3 linked regions of the Mytilus edulis genome follow. Each later gene encodes a partner of the first gene's protein in a complex. Links are inferred from orthologs where the notes say so. Each region holds a gene or a part of one and is shown in the gene's direction. Other genes may lie near its edges.

Evidence for each region.
Region 2: the proteins of integrator complex subunit 9-like (region 1) and integrator complex subunit 4-like are in contact, whole or in part, in a cryo-EM structure (PDB 7SN8), measured with the Drosophila melanogaster proteins. The link is inferred for Mytilus edulis from reciprocal best matches to the Drosophila melanogaster genes IntS9 and IntS4. Residues at the interface, in NP_648838.3 of Drosophila melanogaster: Arg2, Arg23, Met88, Lys90, Met91, Asp93, Glu96, Asp98, Arg173, Lys176, Asp203, Leu205, Gly206, Gly500, Glu501, Ile502, Arg504, Val544, Lys545, Asp546; in NP_572488.1 of Drosophila melanogaster: Arg105, Leu108, Val112, Thr115, Asp116, Asp147, Thr148, Ser149, Lys153, Glu156, Gln193, Met196, Arg200, His231, Lys234, Gln264, Asp265, Ser266, Arg269, Tyr302.
Region 3: the proteins of integrator complex subunit 9-like (region 1) and integrator complex subunit 11-like are in contact, whole or in part, in a cryo-EM structure (PDB 7SN8), measured with the Drosophila melanogaster proteins. The link is inferred for Mytilus edulis from reciprocal best matches to the Drosophila melanogaster genes IntS9 and IntS11. Residues at the interface, in NP_648838.3 of Drosophila melanogaster: Glu128, Tyr198, Asp199, Glu200, Lys201, His230, Asp333, Ser334, Ala337, Tyr338, Asn340, Ile341, Glu344, Gln351, Val354, Tyr355, Leu356, Pro357, Asp358, Asp359, Pro360, Arg509, Lys510, Leu511, Asp512, Arg513, Ile514, Tyr515, Ile516, Ser518; in NP_651721.1 of Drosophila melanogaster: His94, Lys97, Ala98, Pro135, Thr137, His139, Gln140, Ser141, Glu149, Lys151, Lys274, Thr277, Tyr278, Lys280, Met281, Phe282, Ile283, Thr284, Trp285, Phe294, Val295, His296, Val450, Lys451, Ile452, Pro453, Val454, Asp455, Ala456, Ser457.

The regions. Positions count from the first base shown.
Region 1 is NC_092357.1:9,156,855-9,167,700, reverse strand, and holds the start of integrator complex subunit 9-like, read left to right. Parts: upstream 1-6,234; 5' UTR 6,235-6,328; coding exon 6,329-6,337; intron 6,338-9,068; coding exon 9,069-9,196; intron 9,197-10,846. Other genes in the region: RNA-binding region-containing protein 3-like, read right to left, coding at 1-68, 366-458, 710-816, 1,328-1,375, 4,394-4,522. UniProt on the Drosophila melanogaster protein: Component of the integrator complex, a multiprotein complex that terminates RNA polymerase II (Pol II) transcription in the promoter-proximal region of genes.
Region 2 is NC_092346.1:94,728,423-94,739,763, reverse strand, and holds the start of integrator complex subunit 4-like, read left to right. Parts: upstream 1-6,931; 5' UTR 6,932-6,999; coding exon 7,000-7,053; intron 7,054-10,571; coding exon 10,572-10,881; intron 10,882-11,341. UniProt on the Drosophila melanogaster protein: Component of the integrator complex, a multiprotein complex that terminates RNA polymerase II (Pol II) transcription in the promoter-proximal region of genes.
Region 3 is NC_092356.1:73,122,939-73,134,074, reverse strand, and holds the start of integrator complex subunit 11-like, read left to right. Parts: upstream 1-6,673; 5' UTR 6,674-6,746; coding exon 6,747-6,774; intron 6,775-9,105; coding exon 9,106-9,117; intron 9,118-9,676; coding exon 9,677-9,762; intron 9,763-10,256; coding exon 10,257-10,336; intron 10,337-11,136. Other genes in the region: ceramide-1-phosphate transfer protein-like, read right to left, coding at 1,436-1,946, 6,091-6,209. UniProt on the Drosophila melanogaster protein: RNA endonuclease component of the integrator complex, a multiprotein complex that terminates RNA polymerase II (Pol II) transcription in the promoter-proximal region of genes.

The DNA.
Region 1 (10,846 bases):
TTGTTATGATACTGACTGTGGGTGGTGGATACAAGTAACACAGTTTGGGGTTCTTAGGATAATTTACCCTGCAAAAATATATGAATTGTTGTAATATCTAGTTGAAAATAAAATGATATCCTCCTTGTCCAATATTACAATTATTAAATCATCTAATAAATAACCAACAGATTTTTTTCTTACAAATGTACATTGCCAGACAGGAGTGCTAATTATACAAAACTACAAGTAAGAAATGAGAAAAATGTTAATTCCATAATGTTGTTTACCTTTACAAATTGAAAGTTGTGATTATTTATAAATGCGTATAATACATGAACTTTTACGGTACTTAAAAAGATAAGGTTTATTTGGTATGATCTTACCCCCATTTTTTATACACTGTATCAGCTGAAGGCAGATTCTGTGTTTTATCTTCTGTTCTCTTGTCCAGTTTCTCTTCTGTGACCTTTCTTCCCCTATTAAAGCAATAAAATTATTACAGGACACCTGTTTCAAATTCAATGACTTACATTGTACTATGATTGACCAAAGAAATTGCAGTTGTTGAACTAACATTCACAACATTCACTATGATATTGGTACTTGATGTCAAAAGAATCCTGTTGTGACGTTTGTACATATACAGTCTTTATTCAGATTTCATTTATATAAATTTAAAATAAGATACAGATATAAGAACATTAAATTAGTAGATCTTTTCTCCTACCTTTGGTTGTCTGATATGGATGGGAAATGTTTCTGCTGAGATTTCTTAGCAAATTCTGCCACTAGTTTACATCCTAATACCTCAAGTTGATGCAACCTGTTTAATGCCTGCAAAAAACACATAATTGAATTATTTATTTTTACAAACACTAACATGTTTAACCCCGCCACATTCTGTATGTATGTGCCTGTCCCAAGTCGGGTGCCTGTAATTCAGTGGTTGTCATTTGTTTATATGTTACATATTTGTTTTTTTAACATAAATAAGGCCGTTAGTTTTCTCTTTTGAATTGTTTTACATTGTCATTTCAGGGCCTTTTATAGCTGACAATGCGGTATTGGTTTTGCTCATTGTTGAACACCGTACAGTGACCTATAGTTGTTAATTTCTGTGTCATTTTGGTCTCTTGTGGAGAGTTGTCTCATTGGCAATCATACCACATCTTCTTTTTTATATTTATGGAAATGATGGATATTTGGCAATCAACTATCTGATTAAAGTTCTTAAAGAATCACTCATATACATGTTTTAAATAATTTTGGAACAACACATACACACCATGTACAATTGTACATATTGTTTCATATTTTACATTTTATCAAGTGAAAACAAACAAACCTTAGCTGCATGCATACTGTCTGAGAATGTAACAAATGCTGTATGTTTCTGTAAAAAAGAAAAAAATGTGATTATCAGATGGAAAATATCTATATTAAAAAAAATCCATATATTTAATTTTGTCTTGTATATCATTAATTAACAAAATATGTTCATGAAGCGATTCTGTTATTTTCTGCCATTTGTGTTGCATAAAAAGCTGTTTGTATGTATGTATGTATGTGTATATTTAGACAATATACATATAGTGTCTTGAAATATGAAATTTATTTGTATGAGGCTTAGAAACGGGGGAAATGCGAGGTTCTACCGAGCATTTCCCCTGTTTTGTGCCAAATACAAATAAATTTCATATTTCAAGACACTATACGTATATAGTTTTTATACTGAAATCCATAAAAAATTAAAAATTAAAAAAAAGTATGTAAGGCCAGGATTTTTTAATTTGTTGGTTTACGGATCCGCCAACCCGATTTTGCCGATTTCCAGAATAAAAATAAAATTGACTTTTCATGCTTTTTTATTCCCGCCGACCCTAAGAAATGCATTATCCCTGAAAAATAATTAAAATAATTTTTTTTTATGAAATGAAATGCATTAATCACTAACAAAATTGATAACACTTGCTGTTGTGAAAAAATAAAACTTCCAGTTTACGTTTTTAAATATAGACAAATCAATTATCATAATAACTGACCTTGAAATGTCGTTTGCACAAATAATTTTGCGGAACGAAACTTGTGTTTAAAACCAATTACACAATAAGTTCGTTTTCCTTATTTGTCATCAGTCCGTAAGATGCATCATCTCATAGAAATAGACTTGTCCAAATGTTGATAGGTTGAAGGCATCAAGTTGAAGTATTGAATATTAACAAATCCTTTGGAATTTTCTTGTTTCATAGATAATAAAAAAATTATCGTCCATTTGGATAAAAAACGGGAATGCGAGACAACAGATTGACCCGATAATCTCGTTTTGCCAATGGACGAGTCTATTAGGTTTTTGACACGTGTGTTGAAACTTATTTTCGTACGACGTTTTTACATTTTTTTCTTTATCAGTTTTCGTGCTTGAAGATCATTATTCACCAAGTTTTCTGGAATTGATTAAGAGCTACACGAATCTATTTTTCTTGTTTCTGAAATGACGATTTAATTTCATCTTTGTCCGTGCACCCCCCTTTTTTTTTACTGTAACTTATTAGACAATGTCATGCGATGTTTATAACAGCTGAGCAATAATATTTCATTGAACTAAAATTTAAGAAATGATGATAAAATGGCATAACAAACATATTGTTAGAAAGGTGAAATATATATTGATTTTGCATATTTTTCTGTCTTCAAAGATGATTTTTTTTCTTTTTTTTCCTGACCGACCAACCCGACTTTTTCATGGGGAAAATCCGTAAACCAACAAATTAAAAAACCGTGGCCTAATAAATATTGTAAAAAAAAAAGTGTTTGGAATTTCCCTCTTGGGGTACCATTTTGGGGTATTTCCCTATGACCGTAGTTCAGGCGGTAGGACATTGACATTTTAAGGAATTAGAAAGAAAAATGAACTTAAATAATAACATTTAATAAACATGGTATATAAATTACCAATTTGAAGACAAAACAAGTTTAAATTCATAAAAGTTTGACCATTGTTACTACACATTGTCCTGGTTGTGACGTGACGTTGTTGATGAAATACAGTAGTTCCGGTAAGAAGGCGGGGCTTATAGGTTAGTTGAGGTCATTGACGTATAAAGCTAACGTTTATACGTATAGCTTTATCTGAATAGTGAAATAGCTGATTGCAGTATAAATTATATTATTGTTATACATTTGTATTTTGAGATATTCAAATTAAAGGGCATCAGGGGAGATAAGTATTGCATGTATTGTACTAACTTATTTTTCCTAAATAAAGTAATTATTATAATTACTTGAGTGTGAAATCATGGATCCAAAGTCTTATTGAAACTTTCAAAATCATTATAGTGTTTCATTTTTGACATCTATCATGTGTCTTTATCATGTACTGTGAAAGTATTTTTTTTTGTGGGGTACCAAATTTCGTGGTTTTCGAGGATGGCTTTATCCACAAGTTTAAGTATCCAACGAAATAAAACAACGATTGTCCAAATCAAGACATGGAAAGATACCCATGTAGGTTTGACTACTGTTATATATGATCCAGAGGATATATATTGAATAACGCCAAATCTGAAAATACTATGATAGTAGTCACAGGGCAAATGCACTAGCTATGAACTACAACTGCATGCAGGATTATATCCATTTAATCTTTAATAACCTAAACTGTACAACTTTTGATCTTTTAATTCTCATAAAAATATTTATATTGATGAAAGTCAGATTTCCGGTATTGATAAAGTGTTCATTTTATATTCTCATAGTTCTAGTACATATGGGAAATAAAAATTTCATGCTGGGCTGGATTTTGATAAAAATTATTTTACAATTCAAGATACGTTTATCATGTTTATAGCATTTGTTCATGTTACTGTTTTCTTTAGCATGTTTAGGTGACATGTTTATGGCCTAATTAACACATTTGATGGTCTTTAATTTGTTGATCACTTTATCTTGGGTTAATTAGTGTTGTCACTAAGATTTATAAGGGTCAATGTTTACTAAGCAATTTCCTTCAATCCAGACTACAAATGTAAGTCATGTAAGTGTAACCGTCTATTCTAAAAGCTTCAAATTTAATTTTTTTTTCTTTCTAGAAAACTTAAATCCATGAATTTAAAAATCCATGAACATGTCAATATTGCTGAAACCACGAAAATTGATAACCACGAATTAAAGTACTTTCACAGTATATGAAAGGTGAGTTTATTAGAATTAAAAAAATCTAGGAAAATCTTTCAACTAATAAATATTATCAATAGGAAAAGCTACATACAAATGTACAGATATATGCATTCTATATAAGTATGTGTGTTCTTATTATTGGGAAACTCAGGTTTTTGCATTATTCGCATTAATATAAACCTTGTAATAATGTAAGAATTTACAGTAAATATATTTATATATTTTAAGTAGTCACCATTGCTCCTCTAACGCCCATCACTTTGACCCTAACTGCTCCAAAATGTCTGAGGAGTTCTTCCTTGTCTCCATTGGAGAGCTGTGACGGGAGATGTCTCACCAGAAGTGTATCATCAACACTTGCCATGATCTGAAAACAACAAATACAAAACTAAATAAGTGTGGAACACACATATGTCTGAGGAGTTCTTCCTAAATTCAATTTGTCTCCATTTGAGAGCTGTTTTTAGTCAGTGTTCATGTTGCTTAGTGTTTAGTTTTCTATATTGTGTCTTGTGTAATTTAATTTGCCTATTGATCTTAATCTTTAAGCTATGGCATTGCTCCCAAAAAATAAGTCTGTACATTGAAATTGTATAATGAACATGATGAAACCAATGTGCTGAATGGCCAGCTTAATTGCACAAAAAGTTTGAAGCCATTTTTAGGAGTGAAAATTTGAGAAAGAAAGTCTGTATAAACATGATAAATGTATTTTCAATCCAAAGCCCTTAATTATTCATCGAAATTCAGTGTGCTTAACCAAATGTATCTTGAGCTGTAACTCATCATAACTCATTATTATATATAAGCATGATAAGTAGACTAATACACCAACACTCAGCTAAATATACAGATATATATCAAAGCACTAAGAAAAATAGGCTGTTAAACTGTTATTATACATGCAAAGACATACATAACATAGAAAGTTTGTAGAAAAGTGACATAGGAGTTGAGTTCTACAATCAAGAGAAAGAAACAAAGGCAACAAAGAGTTATCAAGGAATAGAAGAGATGAGGTTGGGTGACAAGACTTTCCTTTACCTTTCCCCATCTGTGAGTAAATGGAATGAAGATAAAAGTGTGCACGCTGACCAGTAAATCTCATCCTCTCTACCATCCGAATGGCAAGGTTCAGATGCAATAATAATTTGGCATGCCTTTTGCAGCCAGACACTTACCACAATAGTAAATTATACTTAACAGGGCTCAAACTACTTCAGAAATAGTAATACATGTAGTGTTCTAGTAGTGCATATTTTAATCATATGGGGACGAAGTCCCCAATTACAGTTAAAATTTTTTTTTTTTTAAATCTAAAATTTTCGGGAAAATTTCCCGAATTTTTCATTCTACTAACATACTAATGAACTCCAAATCGTTAACTTTTTTTCCAGATCTACTTCCGTTTATGGTCTTGTTGGCATGAGACTTTGAATAAAATGTATGTTTATCAACACATCAACAAATATAGGAAGGAATTCAACACCCCATCATTTTTTATAATTGTTTGATATGAAAAAAACGTTACCTGGTTGACAGCGTTTCTTTCTTTACATTGAATATGACTTCATAACTTAAGTATCGTCACAACTAAATCCCTAACAACATGAACAACAGAACCAATATCGGAAACATTATGGTATTTCCGTTTCTTTTATCAATATGTTTGAATTAAAAAAATAATAAAACAGACTTCATCCCCATATACAGGTAATTCCTGCCTCATATTAATATAAGGCCTTAAAACTTTACAAACTGCACAGGTAAGTCTGCACACAGAATAATTTTTGAGTTAAAAATTCTGCCATATTTGTCCATTTGTTATGATGAACCTTATCAGTGTTTATTTCACATGTTTCAATTATCAGATTAGGAGAATTTGTATTGAATTTACCAAAAAATTACCACCTTCTTTTATTCAACAAAGAGCATGAACCATTATTAAAACGTCGCAAACCTTTTGTTTTGTGCACCTAACAAGTATTTTGAAAATATATATCAACAAGCACAATTTCTTCTTTCACTTTGACCGGAAGTTGTTCTCTAAAGCGCTAAATTGATTCTGATCTTCATTTTATAATTCTGTTTCTCACCAAATAAAACACTTTACTGACGCGAGATTTTCCCTCGAAAGTGAAAGAACCACACATTGACTGGAAGACAAAATATGAAGCTGGCAAGTTGATTTACAGATCAAAAACAAAATATATATTTTAATTCAAATCTAAATATCAAACTACCTTTGCGGAGCATGTAAAAAAATATAAATAACAACCTCATAAAAACATATTAGATAGTGGGACGCCTGGAAAGGTATATTTTGATTTCTTTTTCTGTGACACCTTCCTCAGACATAAGAAGGTGTCACAAATAAAAAAGAAATAGCTTTTCACAACATGTTTCAAGACGTCATAATTATATGGACCACTGAGTCTAAAATGAACAAGATGAAGATATGAATGCCCCTTAATACTGTCAGATGTCGAACAGTAATTTCTGACTACCGTTTATCATCATATACACCTTATCGCTAATCCAGGCTGACCCGGCCGCTTGAACTTTTGACGCATACAACAATCACTTTTCCATTGTGGCGTCAGATATTTTGTTTTGTGACGTTAAATTTTTACGGGAACCTGTGTAATATCCAGTAATGGCGGACAAATAGCGATAAGGTGTATTGGTTAAAACTTTATTGTGATTTATCAAAATATCCTTATAGTGGTTTGTCAGAGGTATGAAAACATTATTTTACATGTAGAAAAGAATTAAGCTTGATTCGTTTAAACAAAGTTTTTGATTTTCTTATATATCAAAAAGAAAAGGTTTGTTTTATCTGCACCAACAATTTACTGTTAATGTCATTTTTTCAAGAATTGTTACCATGGTTACTGTCATTTGTCATAAACAGTCAGACGTAAACATGATATGTTAGTCTAAATCTGCTTTTGACTCATAGAGGTCTAAATTTGTAGGTTTCAAGATTCGTCTCCCTTTAATTTAAGACAAATTATGACTTCAATACAGGGATCGAAATTGACGCTGGTCCGGTGAATCAAAACCAGTAGAATTTGTGTCAGACCATTAGATTTTGTCAGCTGGTGGTACAGCTGACCAGTAGAAATTTGTCGATAAAAATCCCTGATTGCATCGCAGTTTCGGTTTGTTTGCTAACAAATTTATCTGGAAATCAGTTTTTGGAAGGACTGCCGGACAAAAAAATAAATAAATGTCATTCAAAAGGAAGATTGAAATAAAGTTTATGAAATTGACAAAAGGAAATGAAATATAAATAATCCTGGGAAGAAATTGTGAATTGTTAAATAAAAGTTAATGTCCCAGCTATTGAAATGTGGAACATTTTTAGGCAGCGCTCCAGACGACCCAGTCAGGCACCCTATGGTCTTCGTGAGGATTGTGATGATGTGGAAGACAATGTTGACATTTTTTCTGTCATTGATTCTGATTTTCATAAAGAAAAGCTTTGAGATTATCAAAGCCTTTATCAAAAACGGGATTGAGATTCTCTCTTTTTCCTGTCTAACATATGTAAAAGAAAGCATGAAAATAAAAAGTAAAAATCTATCATTTATACAGTATAGTCATGTAAGGGGTTGTCAAATGAATGTCATTTTTGCAGGACCAGTAGATTTTTTAGTCCACTGGTCTAACTGGCCAGTACACAAAAAAGCTTTAATTTGACCCCTGGTATTTCAATATGTCAATTATCATGGTTAGTGTTGAGCAAGGAATATTTGACCTGAATTAAAAAGTTGCAAATATTGACTCCTACAAGTAGATAAGTTACCAAAATTAATCATTGTTAATGGTCAATTTCAAAACCCAGGCATACATGTATCTATAAAAAGGTCAAACACCTAAATGAAATTATGACAACATTAAAAGACATTATATATTATGCTAAATATCTTTTAAAGAAAATATGCATGAGAGCCTAAAAAAACAGAGAGGTAATTAGATATAAGAAGATGTGGTATGAGTGGCAAAGAGACAACTCTCTCATCCAAGTCACAATTTGTAAAAGTAAACCATTATAAGTCATAATACGGTCTTCAACACAGAGCCTTGGCTAACACCAAACAGCAAGCTATAACATTTATAAAAGGGCCCCAAAAATGACATGTATAAAACGGTTCAAACGGGAAAACCAACGGTCTAGTCTATATAAAAAACAAGAAACGAGAACATATATTTATTCTGCATAATACTTGTTTCCCCTGAAATAAAAAAGATGTTCCAAATCAGAACACCTTCTAAAATATAAAAAGGGGTGCAGGGTATAAGTTTTTGTATTTATTATAATTTTATATTGACAAGTATTTTTTAAAAACTACTCCGACAATCATTGAATGAATAGAATAGAATAGAATAGAATATTTCTATTTCCCAAATTACAGGGCCCATAAAGGGCAAAAAATCAGATACAATTGATTTACATAATTGGTAACAACAACAATAATAGAGACATATACATATATATTTGGAATATAAGCATTGGTTAGTATCAAGCTAAAAACCACATATATATTGTGAATAAAAGAATAATAAAATTACATTATACATGTATATGTATTTATTCTCAAATTATTTACTTGACCTAGTGTCAGTGTTCATACCTGATCTCCTTAATTCAAATGAATAAAATACTGAGTGGTGATAAAAAAACACATCCCAAATTCAAAATAAATACAGAACGGTTGCAACATGTAAAAGATAAAAAAACTATTCTGAGAAACATTTCCCAGACAACTAATTTCTTTGGAACAACATGATTTCAATGTAAAAATTCAAGAAAGTGATATAGTCAAGTTTTGTCATGGAATATACATGAATTTGATAATCCATCAGCATATAACATACATATTGATATTTTCTTTTAATTACAGTCGTGTTTGTCCAGCAATCCAAGCAAGCCATGTTTTATACTCCACTTTAAAGGTGTAACACTGATGTTAGATTGTGGACTTGATGTTAAAGAAATATTAAAATTCTTACCACTTCCTGTTATACAGAGGTCAGTGTACCCAAATTCTTTCACTTTTTTCACATTTCCCAACCAATTGTGAAGATATCCTTTTTTTTTCTGGAAAATGATGACCCACATTTAAAAAACACAACTAAATTCTGCAAATCTTTGAAAAATCAAGGATACAAATAATTAGAGAAACATATCACACCACTATAACCAGTGATAACCCATGTATTACAATACTTCTCCACTCTCAACAGTTAAATTTTATAAATTTATAAAGCTCTAGTTGTAAGTTTTTTACAAAACCGACTCCAGAACACTGATTTTTTTACTTGTGTTTTAAAAAATGTAAAGCCTTTAAATATTAAAATTCATCTGGCTTAAGTGGAGAAATAGTGTAACACACTTGTAGAATCTATATTTCTCTCATCATGCTCATTGTCGGTGTAAAAATTGGAAACCTATTTGAATAGATTTCCTTTGAAAAAAACTACATTTAAAAAAAAACACACAAGTAAAAGAAACCACTGTTCTGGAGTCAATTTTATAAAAAACTTACAACAACTAACATGACTAAAATAGATCATGAAGAATTCAGTATACTTACAATCAGTCTTTTATAGTTATAACTTTTTTTCTGCAGTCTTCGTGTGTTACAAAAGAGTGGCATAAGAATTAATTATCAAAGGGGTATTCAAAATCATAAATTAAAAACAAACAGACAACACCATGGCAAAATATGAATACAAACTTTATGGTCTACAAAACATAACATAGAAAATCAAGGACTGAGAAACACAAACTCTGCACGATCTTGTCCAATATAAACACTTGCACAAAAGAAACCAAATATGACAAAAAATACATTGGATTTAGCAATGTTTAGGGTCAGTTTTAAGTGTCACAGCATTGAAAACAAGTTATTATACATTGCCTATACTATCATAATTCCATGACTAACAAACCAATCTAAAAACTTCCTAGTTCTATTGAGATGAACATTGGACATTTTTTCACTGTTACCCAACCGCACAATAACCGGTTTAGGTGTTGATTCATCTTGTTCAAATTCAAGTTTACTTTTTACTGTGACCCCCTGCATCTGACAGGATCCACCTTTGCCACACTAGCGTTGTACCTAACAACCAACCAGCATGGATGAAAACTGGACCATTTAAAAAGTTCTCGATCCGTTCCCGAAAATTATCAGATACGAGGAAAAAAGTTTAGGAGGGTTTGGGAAACAGAAGCAACCACAGAAACATACAAATAAGAAGCAGTCTATCACTGAAGATTAACATACCATACATAAGTACATGAAGTCAAAATAATTCGGAATACCAGGCATTTTCAACACAGGGAGAAAAGTGTGCACCCAGAGGCGGACTTTCAGCTGGCCCCTAAATGATAATGTAGACTTAAGGTAGATCATAAGTAAATATTTTTTGAGACAGAATTTGTTTATACTTAGCCAGAATGAAGATTTTAATATGCTCTTTTCAAATATATAATAAAAAGGAGGGGTCACCGTGTTATTTTTCAAGCTATGAGTCGTTGAAAATTGCCTAAATTTGGTTAGATTGTTCATGGGAAAACACATTTGTGTGCATAAAAAAAAATCTATGAGATAGAATTTTGAAAAAAATTGTGAAAGATAGGTTTTGTAATATGTTTTAAGAAAATAAAAAGAAA
Region 2 (11,341 bases), on another chromosome or scaffold:
ACAATGGGCACCTGAAGGGAAAAGAACTAGAGGAAGGCCAAAAACTACATGGAGAAGAACAACAGAGAGAGAAAGGAACCAACAAGGATGGACAAGTTGGAACGTAGCCAGAACAGCGGCAAAAAATAGAAAAGGGTGGAAAAGCAGTGTGGAGGCCTTATGCGACTTCTGGCGCGGAGAGAATTAAGGTTCAGCTTAAGGATGTCATAATTTAGCGCAACAACAGTCTGGTCATATGATCTACGAGATCTAACATACAGAATTGAAGGGCAATACCTCAGAGTATTTGTCAAATAAATATTAAGATCATGTTGTTTGTATGTGAATTACCATGTTTAATACTTTCTGTAAATGGATTTAAAATTCATGTTCACAATAGATCTGTATATACGTGTGATACATTTGACCAACTAATGATATATCTCCTGTCTGGAAAATTGAGTCGATATGCATGCGTTAGTTGCTTACGTGATGGTCAAATAGATATTATCAAGCTTATTATTATATTAAACCCTAATTGCTTTAATAGTTATTGCTTATCCAATAAGTGTCATTTTGGTCTCTTAATTGTGGAGAGTTGTCTCATTGGCAATCATACCACATCGTCTTTTTTATATTATATAATATTCTATATGCATATATATTTTATGAATGTAAACAAGTGACAATCATTAAAATTGAAAGGTCTTTGTCATATTTGATTGGGAAATTCAAATTCTGTGTATGTATACTAGTTTTACATTTGTCCAGTCATATACAAAAATGATCAATACATCTATGGTCTAGGAAAGTATGTAAATATAAAAGACAAAACTTCAATACATCACATCATATAACGATGATTTATTTTCGCAAAGTTCTGAAGACAAAGTCTTTGAACATTTTGATTGAATCATTCTATTATATACCGGTTAAATGGTTAATTACTCGAAAAAGGATTCGAGTAACCGGTGAGGTAGAAAATAATTTATTTGACGACATCTTTAGTTATTATTGTTTTGTTGTAAAAGTGCAGTCAAAATTGATCATTTGAAAATATATTACCCTACCGATCTTGACCAAATGACACAGAAATTAACAACTTATAATAGGTTTTCAACAATGCGAAAACCCCACTCTGCATAGTCAGCTATAAAAGGCCCCGAAATGACTATTGTAGAACAATCCAAACAAGAAATTAATAGCATGATTTACGTACAATATAATGAACGAAAACCAAATATGATATATAGCAACAAACGACAGCAATTGAATAATAGGCTTCTCACTTGGGACAGGCAACTACATGATTATACATAATTTGGCGGGTTAACTATATTGCCATTTTGATGTTGTTTTTTAAAGTTCTATAGAACTAGGATAAGGAATATAAATAAACGACGTTGGACAGTCTTTCAGTTTTTAAAATACGTTCTTTGAATGAAAATTAAAATTGATTCCTGTTGTAACTGTAAGTGTTGAATATATTTTGATGGTTTTGATCGGGTGACAATACAATGTTTGTTAATGAAGAGTACAATGCTAATAAACAGATTTATTAATGGCGACTGAAAGAAGCAATAAATACTGATAAAATAGAAAACCCAATCAACGAAAGAATTCATCTAATTGTCAATAAACCAAAATGAAACTGATCTGAAAATGTATATTTTCATATAAATCTTGTTTCCTTAATTTGTTATTTAATTGGTTTTAGGGGATGCTTATTTCATGTTAAAGTGGTTGAGGGGACTTGTATGTCATAAAATCAGACATTAGGGAATATTTGCAATAATTAAATAGAATAAGATGCATTACAGAATGTCTGAAGCAGCTGAGCAGTTCTCTAATTAACCATAAAACGGAGTGTTAGATGGATATCTCGGAAAGACAATATTTCTTTCCAGTTATATCAATATCTATAATGCCGATGAACTGACATGTATGCTCATAGTATATAACAAATCTGAGAAATGTGTGATTAAGTGGTAATATTCATGGTTAATACCAAAATGAAGCAGGAATTGGACTTTCCAATGGTTAAAGATTGTGTACTGTTACCAATAACTGCGTTGAAGTGGCAACATTTTTCAAGGTTAATGACTATAAAATTGATGTCAAGAACAATTGTATTCGATATGTTTCTCTTGATAACTAAGATATGAAATTTATTTTTTTTTGGTATAAATTAACGTTGTCTCTCACAAAACAGGGATACTAATAAACGTATCGAATACAGTATTGTATCATACAATCCTTCATGTAGCAAGGATAAGGCAATTTCTGTTTTGTTCAGATATGAAACAAATCTAGCTTTTTCTTCTTTCCCTTTCGAAAACTCATACAAATACTTCATTATATATATTCTTTCCGACAATGCAAGTATATTGTAAGTATAAATTGTCTGCATGTGGTAGTGGTTTTTGATGTGACTTTTGGTTAAAGAAGGTTTTACTATAAAACATGTTACGATTGGTTTAATGTTGAACTATGCATGTTCCTGTTGGTCAAAGGTTTAATTTGTCTGTTTCTGTTGGTTGGAGGTTTTATTATGCTTGTCACTGTTGTTTGAATGTTTAACTATGTATGTCTCTATTGGTTGAAGGTTTTACTACATGTACTATGAGTGTCCTTGTCGATTAAAGGTTTTGATATGCATATCTCTTTTGTTTGAAGGATGTCTTTTCTTGTCCTTCAGTGTTGGTTTAAGGTTTTACTATGCCTTTGTCTGTTGCTTAAATGTTTTACTATGCAAGTCTCTGTTGGTTGAAGGTTTTACTATGCGTGTCCTTGTTGGTTCAGTGAAAGTTTTACTAATCATGTTTCTGTTGGTGTATGTTTTTAATACAATGCATGTCCTTTTTGTTTTTATACGCCCGTCAAAATTACGGGACGTATTCTGTTTGTTCGTCTGTCTGTCTGTCCGACGTCCACATGTCGCACTGTAACTTGAGATATGCTATGTAAGTATGTGAGATTTCAACTTTGTATTACAGGTTTTTTTATAAGTCAAAATGGACTGTTTTTATGTTATTTATATGTTTTTATATTCGATCAAAAGCTCCTTAGAGCTTGTGCTGCTTATTTGTACTTATGTCGAATCAAAATAAAGTTTATTAGAACCACTTTTCTCTAATTTTTGTGCTATTTTCACATTTCTGACCGGTGTGAGAAACATATTTTTCCTCACTGGTGAAAAATCTGTTCACGGCAAATGATTGGTTGAAATTTAATTATGACGTTAAATTTTCTTGTTTTCTTCTAAATTTGTTTATTGTGACGTCATGAAAAAGGCGAACATGCCTGATGACGTCACACCAAAAGTACACAACTTTCCTCAAATCATAAAAATCATTAGAGAAACAGATTCCACCACTGTAACTCGTGTATTATGATATTTCTCCACCCTCAACAGTTAAAGGAGTAGGTTCAGTAAGACCCCTTTTTGGCCCCAAAATATAGCAGTTTTACAAAATTATGAAATTGTTATCTTTTAGCTATTTAATGGAAAGTAGAATGCTTCTGCTACATAAATATAGGCTGTTTTTGACAATACAATGTACACATATCGGGTACTAGCATCATTTAGTCATGCTAAATTACTGAAATCTACACAATTTTAGCATTTTAGTTAAATTTTAGACGGTTTCCGTCTGACTGAAATGAAAGTGGCCGCATTCGTGTTCATTCATAATATTGAAATGTAAGTTGTATTTGATGATAATACATAACATATATAAAGGTTGAGGATGAACACGGATGCGGCCACTTTCATTTTTGACAAAAACCATCTAAAAAGTGACGTTTTTTGGCATATTTCTAAATTTTCCATATTTAAGCTTGAATCGGAGCGTTTTTAATGACTAAATCAGTTAAAAAACACTTTCACAAAAACTAAACAAATCAATTGAAATAGACACTTAAGTGTTTAAAAAATGTCCAAAATCTTTCGTCAGATGAACATGAAATTTGAGGCCAAAATCAGCCCTTACCGGACCTACTCCTTTTAATTATTAAGAAAGTTCGGCAAGCTTCTCGCTTTAAATATCAAAATTTAGATAGGAGAAATATATCGTTATACACTTTCCTCAAATCATAAAAATCATTAGAGAAACAGATTCCACCACTGTAACTCGTGTATTATGATATTTCTCCACCCTCAACAGTTAAAGGAGTAGGTTTTAAGCAATAACCATAAATCGTTTTTGAGATACGGCGCGACATGTGAAAAAAATCATTTGAAACAACTATGATTTTTTCACATGTCGCGCCGTATCTCAAAAACGATTTATGGTTATTGCTTAAAACTTTACACACTTGTTTGTTATCTTTATCTATTTAAAGATCTGTATAATTTTTTGGTGATAATTCAAAATTGTATTTAAGAGTTATTAAGGTTGTTTTTTTTTAAAGGGGGGTCACACACAAGACGAAGGACATATCATGCGCTCGTGGCGCACCTGTTTATTAAGGTTTTATTATGCATATTCCTGTTGGTTTTAGGTTTCAGTTTGCCTGTTTAAAGTTTTACTACGTGTGGTCCTGTTGATTTAATGTTTTACTTTGCATGTCACTGTTAATTGAAAGTTGAACTTCTATCATTTAGGTTTGTATAGTATTTCAAGCAACTGAAGTTATAATTTAACTTATAAAATAAAACTAAATTGTATTTTAAAAAGCTATAACTATTATTAAATTGTTTTGACAAATCAAAGCATATTTTTGTTCATTGTGTTGATTCACAAAATTACACTTTATAAATTCGTGCATTCGTTGTGCTAAACCGCAGGTTTTTAACTATAAACTGTGTGCATAAATTATCAATTCTGTTTAGAAAACACTATTAAAGTTTTAATAAAAGTTATTTAGTTGTAAAATGTATGACACTTCCGTGTCCTGATATTTATCAGATATGAACGCTGATATCCCCATATGTATCCGTGAATTACTTGAAAGGCACAAACATGGTTATATACCACTGCTTGATCTATTGTCAACGGCAGGAATTGTTCCTTTTTTTCTTGTTTTTTTTAATGACGTTAATGGTAAAACTATGTTTACTTTATTTGATAATCTGAAGAAAGACGGGATGCTTTCATAACCGGGAAGAAGATGATCGACATGCTTTATACGAAGGCACGCAAGAACATAAAAACCACTTTTGAAAGTATAAAAGGGGTAAGGACAATTTCCACTGTAAATTTGTTTTATGTACGAGAAAAGAAAATATTATTTATACATACATAGTAGCTAAAATGGCAAATTACTACCAAACATTTCGATTGGAGGTGCCATAACTGAAGATCCTCTTTAGTATGTCAGTATATATTTAATTTTTGATATCATATTGACAAGGTTTTGTAGAAATACATTTGTACAATTTATTAAATGAACAATCAAATATAATTAGAAAACAAAAATTAAAAAATAAGCAACAGAACCACAAAAAGGTTAAAGGTTAAGTACACACAGTTTTAATGACAGCAATAATTAGAATAATCCAAACTTTAAAATATTTGGTCTTGTGTATAACTATGTTTGTGTATGTCAAATGTTTTCTCTTTTTACAAAATGGACAGGTCATGCTTTTCTCTGACTGTTAATGACGTCTTTATACTAAATATATTGGATGTTGGACGTGTACTGATTGACATTTGAGTCTTAGATACATGATTTTCTTTATTATCTGTTATTGCCTTCGTAATTATCAAAGTAAATTTCATTGAAAGTTGTGATATGTTCATAACAATTATACAGCTTCATGTAAAATACAAATAATATACAAAACGGAATGCTAATGTAATGAAAACCTATAAAGGGTTCGTTCTTTATCTTTGAACCTCCAATGTCAATGCATGCCCATGAGTCGAGCTCCTCGCTCTATGTGCACCAACTCTTAGCGGGTACTATAGCGATTTCTGAAATATAAAAAAATGCTAACAAAACCAAAAAAGCGTCTTGTTAAAAGGAATTACGCACTGGGATTTAAAATCAGGTATTAATATAATGCAAAAAAAAAAGCAAAAGACCAGAAAAGACAGAAATTTCAGCCTGACGCAGCACTGCAATTGATAGATTGAAACGGTTTTCACATCAATAACATTTTTGTCCCCATCACCAAGATATTTTTTTTAAATCAAAAGCAGTCATAGCTCTGGTCTCATTTTGAAGGGGTATTTATGCTGCATGGTTCAGTCTGTCTCAAATCTAAAAGTCATAAGTTTACATTTTTGGTCTCGTGACCTCAGCAGTATATATATCGGAGGAAAAAAGTTTTTTGTTTGTTTTTTGTATTCAATAACGTGATTTTGGACACATAAATTTTCTTTTATAAGTCAATTCGAATATCTCCAGGGCAATTGTGCGTAATTTATGCGTTGAATAATTCAGTAAATCGCATGCTCTAGTGTTTTTCAATTTTTCTATTCCCCAAAAATCACAAGACAAAGGGCAATAACTTCAGTTAGACATGATAAATTATGATGTTTACCGAGGCTGTTCATGTGTTTCCCAATTCTGTTCGAAACATTTTAATTGCCTTGCAGCCTTTTTCACAAATAACTTAGAAATATGAAAATTGAAGTTCAATTTAATATAAATTCATTTTGTAACTCATAGTTATTTAACCTCACGAAATAGAAATAACATTTAATCAAACACAACCTGTATGATGGTTTTTATCAACCGAGATAGCCTGAAACTGCTTATTATATGCAGAAACCCTTGTATTCAATAATTTTCATAATCACACCCAAACCCTCAACCCAAAGAGCCTAAGAAATTACTTAATGTAAGAAATTTCTACACTTTGACACTGTATTGGTTATATATATATATTATAAATATGATAAGGAACAGTTTTGTTTACAAAAAGAATAACCAATGTTATGTGGTACAAATATTGCAAAAGTCCACAGGCACTTTAAAGCCTTTAAATTTAAAAAAAAAATAATTTTAAAATACGGAAATTTAAGTTCTTACCGGTTTTGTTGATAGTTATTATTTTCCCACCACTTCCGAATGGCAGCTTTGCTGAAGAAAAGGGCTGTTGCCGAATTTAGCCAAGTTATCCAGGTTATTGCTTTTTATTTTTCATTAACTTCTTACAACTGATATTGTCTATGTTACAATTATATCCGTTGTACTTAGCTAACAACTCGTCAGAGGTATATTTTTACAAGTTGTGTATCTGTAAAAATTACCGATGTAAACAATAATGTCAAAATCTAATATCAGATAACTTTTAAAGATAAATTCGAAGGCACTAGATAAAACATAGCACACAATATAAACAGATCAATTTGTGAAGACTGTAATTCATTGCTCTCCTTTACCCGCTATCTTTGATGAGCTACTACTTTAGATGACAGAAACTAATCCAACGCTGTACAGTACATACCTGTCAACCTCTGAAAATGAAAAGTCAGGTCATGACCTGCATTGAGAAAAAAAATCTCAGGTCATAAGGCGTACGACATTTTGCGGGCTCAATTGAAGAACAAAAATATGTTTACATATAATTTATATAGTCAATATGTATATGAAACAGTTAGAACATGTATACAAGTTTATTTCAGACTATTGTTATATTCCATAGTAGCAGACTTGGCATTCTTTAAAAGAACTGCACTTGGTTTCAGTTCAAAGCAATGCAAATGTGTATTCATTTTACAAGAAAGAAGAGCACACAGTGTATCCTTATTAAGATCAGCCCTAAACTCTGTAGCTATTTTCTTTACTAAAGAAAATGCCCTCTCACTGTCTGCATTGCTGTTTGGCAAAACCAGTAATGTTTTAGCAAGTTTTGACAAAACAAAAAATCTTGGCTTGTTAATAAAAATGTCATGCAACTTGGACATTTCTCCCCAAAATGTACCAATGTCAGTTTCAGGGGAAGTGCAAAGTGGAAGTTCATCTAATGGGGTCAACTGATAGTCACTGAACTCATCTTGTAGCTGTGTTGTCTCTTCATATCGTTACGTAGCTCAGGTAAACAGTCCTACATTTTGACTTTTGGTTACATTGAAAAAGACCGATAAAACCGAAGGTCGTATTACTTCTAAATACCGGAAACAATTCCGGTCAGAAATCCGGGTGAAACGGGTAATGTTAGAAATTCCCGGGACCCGCCGGGTAAAGAAAAACTCCCGGGTGAGAGGTGAAAATAACGGGTGTCACCCGCAAAAAACGGGTGAGTTGACAGGTATGACAGTAAACGTAGAAGTTGGCATATTCCCGCGTTAACATGCATTCCAAAACCCATTGTAGATGGGGGAGTGTTATGCCGAATAATGTCCAAGGGCTGTATCCTAGGTGTTAGATGATTGACCTTCATTTCACTGCCTAACGGCTTTGGTCCTGATAATGCTTCCTGTCATCTTTAGCACTACGTCCAAGACTCATCTACCAGTACTCTATCATCGGGGTTAGATGGCTGCCAAGCTGACCAAACTGGCCCTGAAAGCCGCCGTTGTGAAGAAAGAACATCAAAATAGTAAACATACCAAACCAAAGCATCTCATAAAACCAAGATGGCGACCTCCAAAATGGCGACCACCACCTGTTCCTGACCGATGGCACTAAATTATTCTAATGCTCACCAAATGCTTCGAGCACTGAGCCGACCGTGCGAGGGCTGTATAGCCAGTCAAGGTTGTTAAAAACTTCCATTTGTTGTCTGCTCCATGAATAAACACTGGATACAAATGTACAGATCTTGACTGAAAAGCTGTTCTGATGAGAGGCTAATTTGAAAAGATGATGAAAAGGAAAAAAACAAATTAACATACTATATATAGAATTAACCATATTTAAAAAAAAATAAGTAGATCTATAAACATGATAAACTCTTATATGTGTTTTTAAGAAGAATAAATAAACAGGTCATACATTTGTATATATATGTCACTTGGAAATGTCATTCGTGCAAAATCTCCCCTTCAGCTGTCATAGCTTAGAGGGAGATCTCCTTCTTTGAAGGTTTCAGAGGTTGGCAGGTATGATTATTAAATAATAATATATTATCGATTTTTTATAACTTTAAAATGATTTACAGAAATCAAATAAGTTCATAAAGGTCGTTTTAAATTTAATGTGTACATCGAACACGTCAGCGATTGTGATTTCTGTGCTCATCATATTGGATGTACACACTTAATTTAAAAAGTTTTTTATGAACTTACATTGTATCTGCTTTCTGTTAATCATTTATAAGTTATAAAATACATTGATAATATACTATTATTTAATAATCAATTTATAAAAGTCACTAATATGTGCTAGTATTAAAATTTCAAGTGTTATTCAGTCATTTGAGGTACCTGTAACCAGCAGAAAACAGCTCATGGCCACCGTTGTGTCGTCAACACAACCAGAAAATCCTGCATCTGCCCCCAGATGAGGGCTTCTGCTGGCCCCTAAACACTAATGTGTATAAATTCAGTAAAAATGGATGTCACATCACACTGAACTCTGAAATATATAAAAGAATCAAATTAAAAAAAAAATTACTAGACTATCAAAGGCAATTCATCAGTCAGGGGACTTACTTAAATGAGTGATTTTCTAAATCACTGATTCAAGTAACATTATATCCATAAAGGTTGGAAGTAATAGTTGCCTTTCTTTAATAATCACCTACATGTATTTAAGTAGTACAAAATAATCACTAGAAGAAGTGATTTAATTTTACTGTAGATTTAAATATATATATAGATTACTAATTTTCCAGGGACTAATTATGTTTCTAAACTTATCAGAACCAACATCTGTGTTGTCTAGGATGACCAGGTCATTTCAGGTGATGACCTTGTACTGAATCTAGGATAATGACATAAAAATCACTTGTTTAAGTATCATACCTCAATTTCCTTCTCAAAAGTCACTTCTTTAAGTATCATTATTTCTAATAACCCCCACTAATTTCAACACCCCCGAACAGTGAAATCTGAAAGATAAAACCTTGAACTTTACAGGAAAAATACTCCAACTGCTGGGAAAAATCTGTTAAGAAAGTATTAGTTCATTAGGTAAAGCCATTATTATAGCTTTTTTTCAACTAAAATAGAATTTGCAGCTAAATGATAGCATCAAAGGTATAAACCTTGCTACTTAAAGAAGCAAAAAATACATTTTTTTCAATTTTACTCAGGAAAAGATATTATTTAAACCTATGTGTTTTAAATTTTGGTAAAACTACAAAATCACATTTTGTGAAAAAACTTTGAATTTGCTACTCGAATAAGTGATTTAAAAATCACTTATTTCAGTAAGTCCCCTGACTGTTCATTACACATGGTTTATGAGTTTAATATGCTAGAATCACTTTTTAACCTGTCCATTCAGATAATCAAGTTGGCTACCGTGACATGTAATTTCAACCTGCTACATGTAAAATGGATAATCAGGATAATGGAAATTTTCCTTTCTAACCCGATTTTCATGTCAATGTCCCTGTAATATTGAAACACGAAAAAATAGATTCTTTATTGAAATGAATATTAAAATTAAGATCACTTAATTCCTTCAAAATGATCAATCAATTAAGTTATTCACTTATTTATATATATGTGGTTTTATCTTTTCTTTTAAAGGAGGAACCTAGACCTATCAAAAAGTTAAAGTTAGTCCAGAAACCACTACTGCCAGAAGTCCACCTTGATCTAACTGTAGGGACCAGCACACAAGAAGCAGTCAGTAGTCTAATACACTTAGAACGTCAGTTGTCACAGATTGGAGAAAATGCTGTAAATATTGTTAGGCAGTTGGTAGACCATTATCACAGAGAAAAGGAATCAGTTGTTAGATGGAAGATTGCACACATCCTAGGATTGTTGTCTAAACACCCACAATGTGCTGCAGATACTATAGTGGAGGAAATCATATCACTCCTGAAAACAGAAAGTAAGTAAAGATATATACTGTAGGTTCTCCCCTGTAACATTGGTGCAGTCACTGCAGTGTGGCAATAGTCCCAGGGTTTTATCCAATCCCCCAGGCCCTATCCATTTTGATATACATGTACATGTAAGTTCACTTATATTTTAGGTTTTCATCTAAAAATGGTATTTACTATATTCAGCATGTTTAGGGTAAAACCATGAAAACAGTCAGTGTGCTTGTGATTAGAGAAGATACATGTACTTATGTGTTTTACATTTATTGCCTACATGTTTGTAACATGTATATATACATTGACCATGTACATTGACCATGTACATGTATACAAGATGTTATATCCAGATTCAATTACACTCTATTAAACACACCTTCTGACATGTGAGGAGTACTCAAATTACCTTGTCAATACTTTAAATATAATATGATCATGATGGTCTTGGTCTTACTTTCAGACTCTGATTTA
Region 3 (11,136 bases), on another chromosome or scaffold:
ATGCTGTAACTTTCTTATGAATGCATAGAAAATAATAAAAGAGGTATGCATAGATAGATAAAAGATTAATCTTTTAAATGAATGCAATATTTTTATTATGCAATCATTATGTAATCAATTATTATGTAATTAGTGGCAAAATCTGGGTAAGTTCACTTGAATGAATTTAACTCTATCATCTCTTTAACTATACAGAAAATTTTAACGAAATCTTAATCAACACATCATGGGCTTCAAAAGGGTGTCTCAGATTGTCTCTATGGTATTCCATTCTCTCATCAATCTCTAATTAGTGTAAACATCCTAACCACATAAAAGAAAATAATGTTTAATTAGGTGTAAAATTTGTTCTATACATTCTATCTGAAATCTGAGACACCCTTTTGTAGATAATGGCCATAGGAACAACATATAATAAAATCAACCCTCTAGGGATACCTATGTAGAAGCTAATTTCATTTGAAAGTGTAAATTTGGTGAAAAATATTTTAGACACAGTTAACATTATAATTGGTTACATGATTGTTGCATGATACTAACATTGCATTAATTTGAAAGAGTAATCTGTTAGCTATTCAAAACTACCACTTTTATAAATTTTCAAGCATTATTAAGAAAGTTACAGCATTTTAAAACTTGGGAGTTGGAGTTATAAAATCTTTGTATTGTGCTACCTTAATATGACAATAAAGATTATTATTATATTCCCTTTTTGACACATTGAGGTTATAAAATAATAATTTTACTATTTTTAAAGAATTTTGAATATTAAAAAAAATATGCTCCAAATATATTCTACCATATTCAAATTTTGATTATTTTATAAATAAAATCTGGATTACAGTAACAATCTGATGACAAATCTGTCATGTCTGTTATAACAAAATTGATCAAAATATTTCTAAAATCAAGTATGATAAATGTTCATCATATCTAGAACTTTAGAAAGTTGACTGGAAATAAACATGAAGAAGATGCATTGAAGAATTACAGTCTCTGACAAGACAAAAACAAAATAATGTGTTTACAGATCTATAAATAGAACAATTCTTATGATGCAATAGATGGTCCCAAAGAACATTGTATTAAGTCTACATACATTTAAAAGTCAAATACTTCTATAACTATTTTTAACTGTTTTGATGTCTTGTTTAAGCTTTTAGTTCTTAGTTTAGTTTATAACATATACATCTGACATTAGAGATATGCTGTATTTCAGCACCTAGACATGCTAGAGTACAGTTTTATACAAGGTTTATTTGTAGTTTTAAAGAATAAACATACAAATTATATCACAATAAGCTTAAATATTGATTCCAAGAACAAAAACATTTTTACAGTACATTACTAGGAGAAAATTACAAACATAAAGGAGAAAAATAAAAAAACAATAAAAAATTAATGTAAATTAAAGAAACTAAAAAAATGTTCTACATTAAGGTAGTCCATGTAGATTTTCTCTTGTGTATATAGCCTCTGTCACATCAAATATCCTCTGCTGAATATCAGCAGTCTTTCCTAAGTACTCCAACCCTTGGACCGGGTCCTTGGCCTGTAATTTCTCTATAAAATGCTTCCTAGTTGGCAGGGTATAAACAGCTACGTGAACCCCCTTTCGTATCAACCATGGATGATGTTTAGACAATGTTGCATCATAAGCCTCCTTTGTAATGTGGGACATCTTCCCGTGTTCGTCAGCTGCTTTCACATCATGCATTAAACGTGATGTAAATTCTAGAGCACGATGAAGTCGTAACAATGTCCTAGATCCTGATGCTTTCTTTTTATTATCTGTTATCTTATTGGCCACTTCATACTTTATCATTTTCTCAAATGTTTCATAATCTGCAGCTTCAGGAGATTTTCTATAGTCTCGTAAAATTCCAACCTTTTCTACAACATCTGAATTCACAAAGCTAAACACGGAACCAAGAATACCGAACAACCTACAAAACAATAATAACAATGATTTTAAAGAAAATTAATAATGATTAATGATCATGATACTTTTGGTTTTAGAACTTGAATTGTGTAAAATTTTGTAATGTCTAGGCTCTAAACTAACATGCTTAATAGCTGACTATATTGAAAAGGTTAAGGTCATTGTTGAAGGTCATATGGTGACTCATAGTTGTTCATTTCTGTTTCATTTGGACTATAATTGTCTCACTGGCAATCATACCACATAAATTCCTCAATTATAACAGGAGTTACTTCCATTAGGCCATAGATTTGACTAAAACATTATAAATCATTTCCAAATAGAAAGATGATAGTATGTATCATAGGGAACATGTGTACTAAGTTTCAAGTTAATTGGACTACAACTTCATCAAAAACTACCTTGACCAAATGTTTTAGAGAACCTGAAACAGGACTGTAAGATAGAAGCACAGACCGAAAAACATTATCCCCATTGTGCATACAAACCAACTTTTCTACTCGAAAAATGGTATGATCCCGCTTTTTGTTTTGCCAGAATCCTGTATCCTACTTGACCCATTTCAAGGCCGTAACTAGGCATCTTATTTTAGTGAGGCAAAATAATTGAGCCGAGCGAAGCTAGGCGAATTTTTTTTTTGAGAGTATGAAATGAATGGTGCAAAATTCTGCATTCTAGGCATTTTTAGAGAGTTTGATAATGTTTTGAATTTGGACACTTTTTATATAAATTTTTCATATTTTAATACTTTTACAAACACCAAATTTTTAACAACTTTTTTAAATTTATATGTACGATAATCATCCAAATATCACTGATTTGAGTCTGCTGCCAGAACATAGAACATACATCGATTCAGTAGAGTTTTCAAAATTTTTCTATGGACGGTTCAATCAAATCGTTTCAGAATCATAATTTGATCTGCTGATATCCTTATGGCGATGAACATGGAGCATGACAAGACCGCACAATCTCTCGCCACTCATGCATGCTCTTTTCCAAGTTTTCAGCTGTTCCAGGGCAGTCTGTGTTTCTAAAGGTAGCACATCATCATCAACACAATGATCAATGTCTTCTTCCAATTCCTTCTCCATCAGCAATTCGGTAGCAGCATCGGTAGTAACAGTTTTGTTTGCAAAAGGGAATTAAGCTTTCCTGTGAGCACCATCATACGTGGTATTTTAGTTCCAGAATCTATAAATTTAGGGGTTAGGGTTTGGGGGTGTCCGATTCCGAAACCCCGAATATAAAGAAATGAAATTCCGTAGTCCCGAATAAGTAAAGACAAAATCCTGTGTTAGAGGTTCTTCGATTCCTCATTGATATCAAATTGGAATATGGGATATTCTTTCAACTTTTAAGGTTAAAGAAACATGGATAAAAACTAATCCTTGCATTCATGATTCATATTATTTATATTTCATTTATCTGTAAAGAGAAAGTTTAAAGTTCGTGAAATGAATAGATTTGTCAAAAGTTGGTGAAACGGAGAAATGAATACGCAGACAGGACTGCCCCCTTCCGAAGACCAGTACTTTATTTGTCAGTCTACTTATCGTGTTTTGATTGTTCTAATGAAGTTATATGCAATATTCAGACTCTGTTCACAAAAAACTAGTTTACTAGAATTATTCCTTCTTTACCTTCCTTTTTCTGCAAGAGCCTGTTTTTAACTAAAGATCCATGATGATTATCGTTACTAGGTTAATGTAATCGAGAAACATCACCCGTTGAGATGCTGAATTATATACAGGAAGAATAGTTTAATAAAAGGAATGATGACAAGTTATAGAAATTAAGGTTGAGACAGAACAACAAATGACTATTATATTTATATATATATATATATGTATTAAAAAAAATAATCATTGTCGAAATTTTAGTGAGGCAATTGCCTCACTTGCCTCAAGGGTAGTTACGGCCTTGCATTTCCATAATAGTGCATGTAATTTCCCTGTGTTCTACCATGTCTACCAGACTTTATTTCCTGTTTTCATGCTTAAGTTTAATAAACTTATATTGAGATATTTATATGATGCCAATTCTTGAAAATCATGAAAACACATGCAACAACAAAAATAAGCGGCTAATATTTCAACAAACTTAAATATACTCTATACAAATACTATTAAGGTAGAAAAATCAATAAAAAAATTCATTTAAAAAAATAGGGAAAATTTCACGAAAATTTCATTGAAGATACTAATCATGCTAATGAACTCCAAATAGATAAAAAAAAATCAGACTTTTCAATTTTCTAGCATTTGCGTAGAAATCCTATTCCTTTTTACACCTTGTTTTAATGTTCACCTCACAGTAATTATAATTGACAGATCAGCAACTCTCACATGTCTGCAGGTTCTTAAATAAACATAATTAAATAGATCAATTGAAGTTCTTCTACACATGTTGTCATTCTGTAGTCTGACCATCAAACATGTACTTGTTAATAAATTAGTTATAGAAACTGGATTGTATTATTACATAGCAAATATATTACACACCTCATTGTCATGCGACTTTGAGTAATTTAGTAACATATACAGGAAGTCAAGGAACACAATACCAATTTCATTTGTAATAATTTGATCTTTGTCTTTGATATGAATAAACATCACCTGAGTGATGATCGCGTTTCTTTGTTTACATTGAAAATGACATCATAACTAAAATAACATCACAACTAAAATCCCTAACAACATGAACAACAGAACCAAAATCATAACGTTAGGTATTTCTGTTTCTTTTTTAACAGATTTTAAAGTAACATGTAAAATATGTCTTAATTAAAAAAAAAAAATAATTCATACGCTCAATAGTCCATTTGCCAATTACCGATTTGATTCTATTATAACACACTTTTTAAACAAATTACTTCCCTTTGTCAAACATAGACTGGTTCCATACGGGACAAGCGTTACCTTTTGCCAATGCAAAGCATGATGAATTGAAAGTGATGTATCGGCGGTTTAACTAATTTATTACGAAAAATAATTTCTGATGTCAAAAGTATTTAGCTGAACAACAAATAAATGTAATTAAAAGATTTAAAAACCTTAAAGATTACTCACATTACGCACAGGTAAATTTTCTCTGTCTGCTCTCCATTGTAAATAAAAAATAATGTCCGTCATAAGGGAGACAACCAAATTAGGGATCTCTAAAAACAGGGTCAATTACGGGAATTGGCAAATAGCTATATAGCCTATTCATACAGACTTCGTACCCTTTCAGAGGTAATGCTAGTCCAAATAATTATGACAGCATAAAAGATTTATTTAAAGTCGGTTATACATATAACAATACAAAATAAGCTCTGTAGAGCTTTTATCCAACATCAGAAGACTAATATGAGGCAGGCATTACCTGTAAATGGGGACGAAGTCTGTATGAATTATTTTTTGTAACTTAAATATTTGTTAAAAAAAAAAGAAACGGAAATACCGTAACGTTTCCGATTTTGGTTCTGTTGTTAGGGATTTTAGTTGTGACGTTATTTAAATTATGACGTCATATGCAATGTAAACAAAGAAACGCTATCATCAGGTAACGTTTTTTCATATCAAGGAATTATTAAAAATGAAATTGGTATTGCGCGTTCCTTCCTATTTTATACTAGACTGATAAATATATATTTTACTCAAAGTTTCATACAAACGAGACCGGAAAAAGAAAGTACATTGTACATTTCTGCGCATGTCCGGGATTTCAAAACATGACATAAAAAAAATTGAACGATTTTGAGTTCATTAGTACAATGAAAAATTTGGGAAATTTTCCCGTATTTTTTTTTTATTGAATTTTCTACTGTTATTGGGGACTCCGTCCCCATATTATAATTTTTTTCTTTGACTCGAAGTAAGGCGAAAATTATAATAGCCTTTCAAGACGTCATAATTATTTGGACTAAGGTAATGCCTGCCTCATATTCATGATATTAAACATTCTGCAAAAAGACAAATGTATATATATAAAAAAAATAAAAAAAAAAATAAGGGCGAACAGACACAGCAGGTATTAGGGCGAACATGCATCAGGGCGAACGGACCCGGATTCCACATATAATCTATTTACATGTCAATTATTGGACTTGAAATTGAGTCGAAAGTTTCTGTAAAAATATAGCCTTGACCATTTAAATAATTTACTTTGATAATTCTTCGTATGCATTCACATATTCGTCCATATCAATCGTGTCGTCATCTTTTATACAGCTATGGAACAACTTATAAAGTCGTTCGATATCAAAACTGTCATGCGATGCCATTTTGTTGGAAATAATATTTTGTTGTCTCTGTAAACAAAGCAAGAGAATCTTGATTAGCCACGGTAAAAAAAACGTTAGTTAAAACGTTGTTGCGATGATAAAGTAAATAAGAATTGGCAGGTTTGTTTCTTTTGAGAGTATTTTATGGTATAACTATTTACAGGATTAGATTTAAAATAGCAACCTGTAACAACCAACCCTTTTAAAACAAAATGACATTCACATACAAAAAGAGCATTAAATTTGTTTGAGTTTTGTTCTATGTTTTGCTTGCTTCATATTGTGTTAATTTCTTGTTTTACATTTCCGTCGTATAATTTTTCAGACATGAGAACGTTGTTGTTTTATATTGTTTAAAATTACAAATTTATTCACGTATCTTTTATGATTCTATAAAAGTACAATCTTTCTAGAACATAACTTGGTTCTGACTAATTTTAGAGCGAATACGGTTAAAGTATTCCGGACGTATCATGCTTCAGCTCAAAAAAGCAGAACTATCTCCCAAATTCATAACATAAAGATAACTATTTGAAAATGACAGAAATTCGAGTCACACCACTAGGTAATTTATGTTGTCATTCCACAATATGTACAGAAGCATTAATCAAATGTCACAGCTTTCTCTGTTACTTGACCAGTGATCTGAGTCCAAACAAAGTTATGAAAATAATTATATCATGCCAGTCAGCAGTTATATCAATACATTGTTTGTGTACCTACCATTGGGGTTATGCGTGATGCAGGATTGGCAGAATTTTTTAAAGCGTGACACGTGAAATAATTAAGCATGAAAACGGGAAACAATGTCTGGCGGGACACCAGTCCAAATAGTTATGACGTCTGGCAAGGCTATTTTAATTTTTTTTCTGGGACGCCTCCCTACGACGTCCCAGAGAAAAATTAAAATAGCCTTGCCAGACCCCGACGACATAATTATTGGGACTAGCGGGACACGGAAATAAAATGCACTATTATGGTAATGAGGATCGCGAGCGGATACAGAATTTTTATTAAACAATAAGCGGCATACACGTAGCCGGGGGGTTCGGACGACTTGAAAACAAATAAGCACTGTTAAAGTCAACTTTCTGTTCGAATTGTGACTGTTAAAGTCGAGTTTGTGATTTGTGAGTCCAAATACCCCCCCTCCCCCCCCCCTTGGAAATTCCTGGCTACCAGGCCTCTACAATAACTTTTTTTTCAACTTGTCCAGTAGGACAAGTACATACCAAAACTTACTTGTCCGAATGAAATTGTAACTTGTTCCAAAAAAATCTTAAGAATAACCTTTTTTGTATTCTAATGCAATTTGGATGTAACAATTTTTTTCATTGGCTAAAAGTTGCCGTCAAATCCACAGTTGACCAGGCGTAACTAAGGAGGGGCCCGCCATTTTGAATTAATAAATCAACAAATGTTCGATTACTACTATATAATCGAAAATAAAACAACAGCTACCTCGAATTCGCCGTTTTAATGTAATTTTATCCGAATTTGAAGCGTACGGGTAAAATAATAACCTCCAGTTTGTAAGTTTTCATTTGAATGACGTCAGGTTTAGCCATGACGTCTTTGTGCCAAAATCATTCATGAAATTTCGTGTATTTTTTTTTATTTGACAAATTTAGACATTTTTTCAAGTTTTATCGCATTTTTTCTTTTTGTAATGCATTAGAATCGGAATAACAGTACTGTAGTTGAAGAGTTGCCACCGTCAATTTTGATTTGACGGACGCAAATATCGTTTTACTGTCTCCGCTACGCGTCGCCAGTAAAACTGCATTTGCGACTGTAAAAATGAAGATGAGTTATCATTGCCAATGAGACAACTCTCTGCAAGAAATTAACTATAGGTCACCGTATTGCAAGTATTGTTTTTTACTACATAGGATCAAATATGATTTAGTGAATTTAAAAAAAAAAATACCGGTATAATTTATTTTAAAGCAACAGAATAAGGTAGAAAAACGATGTACAGATTTGTCTTGGTCCCGATATGTCTGTGTTACCAAACTGTCTATTAATCATGTCTATTAAATATGTCTCGTAGGGTGCCAAACTGTCAATAAAACTTGGAGCCGAATCGTTTCGGAGCTGGTGACAACTGTCTTGTAAAAAAAAAGTTACGTTATCTGCAACTGATTCGGATCAGTAAGACTGGTTTACGAGAATAGTATGTCTTTTACCTGTTAAAAAGTACCTGACAAAGAACCAGTTTTAAATATTTGATTGCAAGTAAACATGTCAAATTAAAACTTTATTTTTCTCTTCTCTTCTTGTTTTATTGTTTATAATTACTTTGTTCATCAAATTTATTTTCTGCAGAATAATTTTACTTGTCCCATCGGACAAGCTTGATATAGCTTTTACTTGTCCGACCTTTTTTTTCCCTGGTACCGGACAATCGGACAAGCGTTATTGTCGAGTCCTGGCTACGGACCTGAGCGGGATTGGAGATCATACCCTACCAATGAGACCCCCTTGTATGGGTTAGGGATAAATTACGAATAATCTTTTATACACAATAAATGAATAAATTGTAATATTTATGTTGATAAAATAGTGCTAAAACAAAGAATGATCTATGTTTATCATGTTTATTGCATTTATTATTAGTTGGTACTCATTGAATCGTTAAAATCAATGTATGCATATACATGTATCATGAATATATAATTTGCACCCCCTTCTCAGAAGTCTCTCCCAGCATTAACATCTGTATACATGTACTATACAGATCCGATTATGGTAATTGAATATGAATACTTTATTTAAAACCCCTTAAATGCCAGATTTGATACTTAATTTGGCATCTGTTTTATGTGACAATATATATAACTTTAACTACTTTTTGTACACGTAAATATAAATTCATTATTTCATTTTCTTGCAGGTGCAGGCCAGGGTAAGTTTAAGAATACTAAACAAGCTGTAAATAGTCAATGGTAGCCTAAATATCTAGCAAGAGATTATACAAAATGTAGATATTTATATACATGTATATAAACATGATAAATGTATCTACAAAATATAATTTTACCAATATTAAAAAAGTGACATTATTTTTAAAAAGAAGATGTGGTATGCACATGATGCATATAGTTGCCAATGAGACAACTCTTCATGACAAGAGACCAAATAACATATATTTAGAGGACTACAAAATTAGACACAAAATCAAATTTCCTGATATAGATGGTATATTTGGAGCTTTTTCTTTGGAATTAATGTCACAAAACTAGAGCCATACGTGAAAGAGGTGCCATTTTTACTAGAAAATACTCAATATATGTATCCATTGGAAACAATGTAATAGTGAACATGACGAATACACTTTTAACCTTACAAAAAAATATTGATTTTAAAAAGAAGTCCTTATGATCATATGACATGCATGATAGACTATTGAAATTTTGCATCAATATTAAATTATTTTATTGCTATTTTATCTTCACCATTTACAGATGTGGGTAGGAGCTGTATCTTGGTGACAATTGGTGGTAAAAACATCATGATGGATTGTGGTATGCACATGGGTTATAATGATGATGTAAGTCTATTATAAAGTTTACTGATTGAAGTGCTTCTCAGTGGCAGATAAAGAAATTTCCATAAAAAAAATCTTTAGAATAATATTGTGCTTGTGCAAAAAGCTTATACCTTTCTGAGATTGTTATTTAATAGCCAAACACTTTGTTCTTCTTCTGATCATTTTCCTGAATTGGTAAAATATATCAGCACATTGTAAGTGTTATGTGGTTATTAGACAGCATTGTTCATAGAAAGAGAATCTAAATATGCATGCACACAAGGATACATTGAAACTGATAGTGACCATAGTTCTGATAAGAAATTTCCTATAGTGCATTATTAAAATGAAAATAATATGAATAATAAAACTTCAAAATACAAACTTTTTAAGGGGCAACATATTGATCTTATTTTAATTAGCATGGTAAATGGTGCATCAGCATAAAGATTCAAGCTATTATGATGCCAAATACTTTAAAATTATTTGTAATCTGATCTCTGTTATAATTACAGAGGCGGTTTCCAGATTTTTCCTACATTACAAAGACAGATGATGAGAGGTTAACAGATCACCTAGACTGTGTTATTATTACGTTAGTATAGCTTTGAGTTAGAATTTAAAACAGAAAAAAACAAATATTTAAAGTTGGTTGACATGGTTGAGATGTAAGCTCAGGATGATTAATAAGGGTGAGCAGCCCATCTACTCATGATTAACAATTTTTTTTGGGGTAAAGATTGCATATAAGGCCAACAAAAAATATGAGTCTGTTTACGGTTACCTGACCAACCCTAGTTTGAGTGCCGACCCTAAGCCATTTTAATTCTGTCCTAAAGTGAAAAATAAACTGAAGCTGTTTCAAGGAAATTCGAGACTCTTGTGATGAAATAAAGGGGTAAATTCAGTAAAAAATCTCCCATTGACTTTAATGCTAATCTATGTGTGGAAATAAATTTATACCTGATTTACCTTTAGAAATTAAAATCTTTCATATATCATTCATGAAAGTACAAATGTAGCCCTATCTTTTGCAACAATAAAAACATAGGGTCATGCGGCATTTTAGGCATTCACATGGCCTTATTTACAAACAATGTAGATTCGCACTGAATTCCTATACTGACCCCCATTACTTTTCAACCCTGAAGGGGAAAAAATTAGTACATTCAGCATATATTTTTTTTTTTTCAACTCTAGTTTTGATCCATCTACCAAAAAATAATTATTACAAACATTATCTGCCAATCAGAAGAGCATATAACTTCAGTGTTATACAGAAAGCTCTCCCCTAAATGGGCGGTCCCTGATGACGTATATTTATTTACTGAATTTACCCCTATAAGGGACTTTTTTACTTCTTTTCCAACTTTTTTTGTAATAAACATGTAATGT